Linked DNA regions of Coturnix japonica. The protein of the gene in region 1 interacts with the protein of each later gene in a biochemical or structural test. Links are inferred from orthologs where the notes say so. Each region holds a gene or a part of one and is shown on either strand. Other genes may lie near its edges.

Region 1 (3,681 bases):
CACATTACCACCAGATCCATTCCTCTGCAGGAGAACAGGGCTGGGAAACTTGGGGCAGGTGGGTTCTCCCCCTCCCAGTCAGCAGCACAGGCTTAGCACATGACCTAGAAAGTGTGCTGACAGCTTCTTTCTCTCAAGGACAAAGTACTTATTTGTAATGCTAGGGCCAGCAAACAGTGATAAATACAGACTCCCGATGGCTGCACAATAATCTTCAGATCAAGTCCTGTTACTCATGAATATCAAGTTGTGTTGGGAATACAAACTAAGCGTGTCCCATCAACCTCTTGTGAAGGAGGTGAGACCCTTATCTAGGGATCAGTTCATACACCTTGGAAATGAAACCACCTTGCACTGCAGCACAGCAGATGATTAATATCGTTCAGCTGGGAGAGGAAGCAGTGACTCATCTCTGAAGGCAGGCACTGCTGCATGAAGGGCAGCAGCACACAGGTGAGCAGCCTCAGAACAAGCCAGCAATCAAAGCACAGACTGGGCCTGGTTTATGTTCTGACAGTGACAAACAAGGGAATGCCCTGGAATTCTGGCCATTTGTCTGAAATGCTCCTTGAGTACTCTGTGCCCTCATGGCAAATCATAGCAAAGCAGACAGCTACTCGCCTCCCCGTGTGCTAAGAGCAGGCTAAAGGACACACCAGGGTGCAACAAAGACATTTCAGCAGAGATCTGAGTGCTCATCTGCCAGTTGCCACAGCCCAACAGTGTTTTAACACAAGGGAACCAGGAGGAGAAGGGAGGCCTGACAGCCAGCCCTCAAGCAGCAAGGAGAAGTCATGCTTGGCATCACTCAGGGATGCACCCACACACAGTCTATAAATATCTGCAAGGTAGAATGCATGTGGGCGTAAGCAATACGGTATGCTTAATTTGGGGGAATATCATGGAAAACAGAGCACAAACTGTTTACCTGCTGTTGGATCCTCTTCAGACAGTGCCACCAGCGTGTAGCAGGTGCCTGGCTGGTTGTACACCAGGCTTTTGGCAGGGATGTAGCCAATGACCTCATACCCCTCTGTTGGCTCCATCTGCACAGTGACATTCTCCAGGATCTGATCGTTCAGGGTGTTGGTACAGTCAAACTAAGCAGGGAAGGAGAGAACAAAGACAGCTTGAAGCTCTCAGCTCTAGATGTAAGAGCAGATTCACTTCACGCACAGTGGGAGCATGGTGTTAACTTGTGAAGTGCCTCTGTCTCAGCAGGGAGTGCAGCTATCACAGGGTTCATGCTTCCATTTAGTCTCAGTGGAACTGGCATCCAAATGTTTTAGGGGAGAAGCTAAAAACTTTCAGAGGACTCCAGTTCTCCACTAACTTGTTTTTATATTATATACACATATTTTTAAGGAAACAAGACAGTGATTTCAGCAGATCTAAACCTGATAGTTATACTTGGAACTGAATGCAGTGACAAATCACTCAACTTTATACAGTTGTTTCTGGCAAGTGGACAATAGAAACAAAGATTAACTCCTCTGAGGACTGTGTGAGCAGTTCTGAGCTTTTGAGAAAGAAACAAAACCCTGCTGCTCACAGGGTAGCACAAGACTTGCTTGAACTCCCTGAGGGCCAAGTAGAGAGGCTGGTGCCTTGCTTGAACAACTCCCTTGCAGCAGGAGGGTGATCCAGCTAAGGCTGGATCAAAAAAATAAGCACCTATAATAAATAGGCTAAAACAAAATGCAGGTAATTAAGAACCCTCTCCCATCCTGTCAGGTCACATTTTCAGCCTCCCAGATACGACAGGCTTCACTCTTTTGTGTTCAAAACATGCACCTGGGGACCCTGAGGAAATAACACAGCTTCCTTTGCCAGCTCTTCCATGAGAACAGCCCCACCTAGTGCCTATCCCATTGTCACTTTGATTGCACACATATGCATTGTTCAGTCAAAACCACATGCACACTAATTTATCTTTTCTTCCCAAGGCTCTTCTGCTCTGGGTGAGAACCTAAGGACCCACTACACAATGAGCTTTGAACACAGATATCCTTGAGCTATTTCTTTGCAGTGAAGTTTTTACTGGTCAGGAGTTTATTTTCCAGTCATCTTTTGGCACCACATGCCATAGCTACTCACCTGGAACACCATGTGGCTGACAAATGTGTGCTTGGTGCAACGAACCACATACTCTGTTTCCAGCTCTGTTAGGGCAACAGGTTCTGGGGAAGACTTGAAGAGCGGGCCCAGTCCCCGGAACTCTGGGATCGCTCCCAGTTGCTCTGAAACAGAAGATGTAGAAACAATTGCTTTCCCCAGCCACCGAAAAGTGTTAACTTTCTCAAAGCCTTCAGTTAAATAGCTGGAAGCTGCTGCAGCAAATAGTCACCCATTGAGCAGCCCAGCATTTGCTAGGAACTTCTAAAACTAAAGGCAGTCTCATCTTCCTTTAGCACACATCTGCCAACTGCCCACATCTACTGCAAGCATCCCCAAAAGCAAACAACTGATTCGGATGCCCACGCCACTCTTTGAGGGGAGACAGGGAAAAAGTGGAGTGGACAGGCAGGCTCAGCTAGAAGAGGCTACACAGTTCTCATGTACAGGGGTAAGAGAGGCCTTGCATCACTTTACCTTGGAATATTTCTTGCCGTGTTGCTGCCACTTTCTCTGGCTGTTTGGCTACAGCAACAGGGGCATTTTCTGCAAGAGAAAATAAACAGAACAATGAAACAATCAAATACAACCAGGAATAGTAACTAAATCAGAAACCAGATCATCGACTAAGCAAAGGAGAGCTCATTTCTCATCTTGCCATAGAGCAGGCACCCATTTTTAGCTTCCTAAATACCTCTGGTAATCCTCACTGAAGCTACTGCAATTCAAACGATTACTATTATTAGCAGCTGGACTAACTGAAACACTAAAGTGGGAGTAACAAGATTTGCTGGCCTTTGTCTTTACAGAAGATATAATCCCACAGAATTCGATGAGGATGGATCTCAGCAATTCCCAGCAAGGCCAGTGCTGGATCAAGGGCTGGATCTGCCAGGGAACTATCAGCAATTTAGATCAGCACACAACAGACCGATTCTCACCTGCTCTTTGCTCGATGATTGGAGCTGTTGCCAAAGGAACAGATTTCAAATCAAAGGGTTTTTCAGAGGGTTCCAGAGTATACTGGTGTAGAGCCCTCTCCAGGCCAGGGATGGACACTGTTAAACCTAGGGACAGAAGGAACAAGTCCCTGAGACCGCAGATAATGCCATCTCTTTGGCATGTATTAAACCAGGAGAGGTGCAGTCTTGCTTTGGGGACTTTCTGTATTACCGTTCAGGATGTAGCCAGCATTGAGGGCTTTCTGCTTTTGCTCCAGAACATTCAGGTAGAACGTGGCTCTGTCTCTTACTTCATTGTCATCATCCATCACACATCTGAGAAGAAAGCAGAAAACCTGCTTCAGCACAAGGCAGCAGGGCCCACGTGAATCAATCCAGGTTATTATATATAATAAGTTATAATACATCACATTCTAATGTTATAACTTATTATGTAATACTTAAGCTTAATTACAAGCACAACTTAGCAGTAGCCTTGCTCTGCCGGTCTCCAAATAACCCACCTGTCCCTGTAACATTAAGTGACACTCACCTTTTCAATAACACTAAGATACTGGGTAACATCTCCTCATTCTGGGCTCCAAACTTGGCCAGGGCACTCACA
Region 2 (3,814 bases), on another chromosome or scaffold:
AGAGTGGAATCACCTCCATGTTCTACCGCTACCAGCACATGGAATAATCTCCCACCAACATGGTCCATATCAACAACCCAAAACTCAAACTCAGCTATATAAAGAGACTAATGGATAAACTAGGAGTAGGATGGAACTTTTCAGTTTTCTTATTCAAGGTCAGTTACTGCAAGAACAAACTTAAAACCCAGCACTGTTCTTTAGCAGATACGATGACTACAACCACCCAGTGCTCCTCTCTCCAGCCAACAAGCGTTGACTACCTATGCCTTATATCAGCATGCCTGGAGTCTCTAGGCAGGGTGGCCAACAGTAGCTGCAGAAAAAAGATTCAAAGCACACAGTTCAGTGAGAGGGGTTTTTTTATGTTTAAATTACAGCAACTTGAGTGAACAGCTGGAGCTTCCAGGAAGGGATGAGAAAGATGAAAAGGCCAGCAAGCAGGAGAACAGAACTGGAAGGGTTCAGTTGTCAGGCTGGAAGGAAAAGATGCCAAGAAGCAGAAAGCAAGCAGATAAAATGAGAGCTGCTGGGTGCAGAGGGATGGAAAGGAGACATTCTGCATTGTCAGGGATTGCCCTGGAAAAACTGAAGCTGCACTTCTAGAAGTGATCGGAGTATAAGGCACAACAAGAAGCTTCCTTTAAGCTCATCAGATCCTCAGTAACTCCCTGCTCCTCCTGCAGCTGGAGCTCACCAGAGCAAAGCAGGATCAGGAGCAAAGGAAAAACAAACAGTAACTATCAGAGGTCTTGAACTAAACTATCCAACTGATACCCACATCTCCCACTTCAGGGTCCTCAAGTGGCCATCTCAAACAAGCACAGAGCTGCTTCCTGGGAGACTAAGGAAGTTCCTAATGTACCAAGTCAAAGGATGAACAAGATAGTCAAACTGGATGTAAAAAATGTTTTGCAGAGAAATGGTAGAATAAGTAAGTCATAACTGTGAGGTCAGGAAACTAAAGATTACAGAATGAACAAAAAATTAAAGATGGAGAAGGCCTCTTTGCCCTGAAGCGTAGTGACAGGACAAGGAGCAATGGTTTTAAACCAGAAGAGGGTAAGTCTGGATTCAAGAAGCACCCTCAGACCTCCTGCACTCTCATAATATGTACCTTCTATACAGCATCTCCTTCTCACTTCCTCTTCCTTATTTCTGTGGTTAAGGATTGAGAAATCCCAGTTGCTTAGATCCTTCAGGGCCCAACGGCTCCAGGCTTCCTCTATCAACAGTTCTCCTCTTCCAGTACTCCACCAACATCCTCCTTAGCTGGAGCACTAAAAGTCCTGATTGCCTACTTGAAGAAACTACGAAAAAATAAAAGCTTTTGAAAAGAAACACAGGGAGAAGAGACATCTCAGTCAGCCGCCTCATTCCTTTGCTCACATTATAAAGGAACAAGGTACTTGTAACACTGCTACTTCCTCCTCCTAATCAACTTAAACAAGTCCTGCAGATGGTCAGGCCTTACAGTGCCACCACACTGTCCTCAGCATTTTTGTTATATCCAACACAGGCATGGAAAATCGGGAGATCTCCATCATACAGTATGTATCACTAGCAAGGATTATGGCCTCCACCAGGTCCAAAAAAGAAACCAGTAGCTCAGAGGGACCTAAAGAGAAAGCCTTTGGAAGAGGATCCAGCTGCTGAATTGAACAGCTCTAGATTTTGGCATTCTGATCCCCCAGTGGTCACCAAGTAGAAGCTGGACTTAGAAATATTTTATCCGGTCTAGGCAAGAAACCCCTGGTCACAAACACTAAAATAAAGAGTCTAGACACAGCTAAAGAAAGAAGCTTTTCCCACTTCATTGTGTGATTCCATAGAAGCTAGAAAGGATTTATTGGTCTGTCTGGGGACCTCCCAAACACCCAGGTGTTGGACAGTACAGAGCAGGAGCGACTCTCCCACATGAGTCACTAGTACCTGCATGTCTTGATGCGTTAAGGAGCATTCAGAAGCCCTATCTTCACAGTGAAATAAAAGCAGAACCCTGAGCATTTAGAGTCAGTTTTATCTGACAAACATGATAGAAGAGGTGCTACAAGCCAGATGCCTCTTAATAAAGATACCTTTCTGTTTCTGAAAAGTTCTCTTCAGTTTGCAAACTATTTGCATATTATAAATGGAACACAACAGCAAAATACATACTGCATTTCAAGAGACAGGAGGAATGCTGCTAGTGACTGCTCCATAAAGAACTTTGAGATCTTCCAAGATAAGACATGAGAGAAGTGGCTCCAGGGAGCAGAACTCTGACAGTGACTGGGGGAAGATGCAAGCACCTACAATCTTGCACATACTTACTCAAAGCTAAGGAGACTGGAGCCTATGTCAGCTGCTTTCAGCACATCTGTCCTGAAGTTGAGCCCAGCCACTCAAAGCAGCACATGCGTCATGCTCAAAGGAAACGAGCCTCAGTGCTCGTTAGGCAACCATCCCTGCAGCACAAAGGCAATACTGACGTCCTGCTCATTTCCTCTTCCCTTTACTGACCGCTCGGCAGTTATGGGTGCAAACTAAGGCCATGTTCTTTTGTACACACACAGGAACTCCAGAAAACAGTTGCTATCCTAACAGGACCACTGCAAAGTACTCATTCTATTGAGATTACATTCCTCCAAAGGAGGGGAGTGGGTCAACAGGACAGAAAAGCTACGTCCTGGAGACGAGGGTATTCTGCTTTGTCTTTGCTTGACTGCAGGATGGCAAGAACCACGAAAAGAACAAGAGAGGTGCGTTTTGCTCCTTGCTACCACCATTCATAGCAACTGTGGTAACCTGTGTAGGAGGAACACACAATTCCCCTTTCTTCTGCCTGTAACAGAAGAAACCTGAGCACTCTATACAACAGCCACAGAGGAATACTTAACTTCCAAATGCAACACAGACAGCAGATATTCTGCACTGCAGAAAATACACACAAACTCATGAAACACGGCTTTAGAAGTCAACATGTTCTGTAGACTATGCTCAGAGTGACTTTATACATACCACTAATCCAAACATCCACATCTACACAAACTTCATCAGAAGGTGAAGGCAGCCAATGGTTCTTTCACTTACCCACAGGAAGCTTGCTCTCAAAGCAGGCCTCAAACATGTCATAGTCTTCAGTGGTGAAGGCAAACTTGCCCTTGGTGGCATCCTCTTTAGCATACAGGATGTGCCCCGCTGAGTCAGTTATCTGTAAGAGAGATAACAAGGGTAAGAAATGCAGCGTTTCATTGCTGTAGGCTCACACTACTGAGTTTAGGCAGCACGAGAAGTGTTCTCTGAGCCTCCCTTTTGGATCAGATACTTTGCTTTTCACACTTTTCCTACTTCCTGGCAACTACATCAAATCCTCTCCTACTCATCCTCAGTGAGCTGACAGAGTGCATCTCAGGCAATCACTGACTGTTACGTTAAAACAAATATAGAAAACGGACAAAAAGAAACATAACAACAAAAAGAAACCCAACCCCAAACTGAAAACCACACTGATTTCTTTTCCTCTTATGACATCTGAATACAGACAACATTTAGGAACTCTGGATCTATGAAGTGTCAACTACTGCCTTCGTTTTGCAAGCAAAAATTATTAATTCCCATAGTAACAAATACAGAGAAGCCTTATGGGACAAGAAAGAGTGATTCCCCACAAGATGAGATGGCGAAAGGCACATCTACCTCTCTAGAAATGAATGACCAGTGCAGCCCTGAGTTACACGAGGTCTGGGTGCCAACATCCATCAGATGTATCAGAGGACAATTCAGACTGCACGGACAGAATAATGACAGCCATATTCCATTTCTATACCATACA

Evidence for each region.
Region 2: the proteins of COPG1 (region 1) and TMED10 form a complex in vitro, tested with the Homo sapiens proteins (2 studies listed by BioGRID). The link is inferred for Coturnix japonica from reciprocal best matches to the Homo sapiens genes COPG1 and TMED10.

The regions. Positions count from the first base shown.
Region 1 is NC_029527.1:6,775,049-6,778,729, reverse strand, and holds part of COPG1 (coatomer subunit gamma-1), read right to left. Parts: coding exon 3,610-3,681; intron 3,393-3,609; coding exon 3,289-3,392; intron 3,183-3,288; coding exon 3,057-3,182; intron 2,662-3,056; coding exon 2,593-2,661; intron 2,241-2,592; coding exon 2,098-2,240; intron 1,101-2,097; coding exon 929-1,100; intron 1-928. UniProt on the Homo sapiens protein: The coatomer is a cytosolic protein complex that binds to dilysine motifs and reversibly associates with Golgi non-clathrin-coated vesicles, which further mediate biosynthetic protein transport from the ER, via the Golgi up to the trans Golgi network.
Region 2 is NC_029520.1:34,645,022-34,648,835, forward strand, and holds part of TMED10 (transmembrane emp24 domain-containing protein 10), read right to left. Parts: intron 3,194-3,814; coding exon 3,073-3,193; intron 1-3,072. UniProt on the Homo sapiens protein: Cargo receptor involved in protein vesicular trafficking and quality control in the endoplasmic reticulum (ER) and Golgi.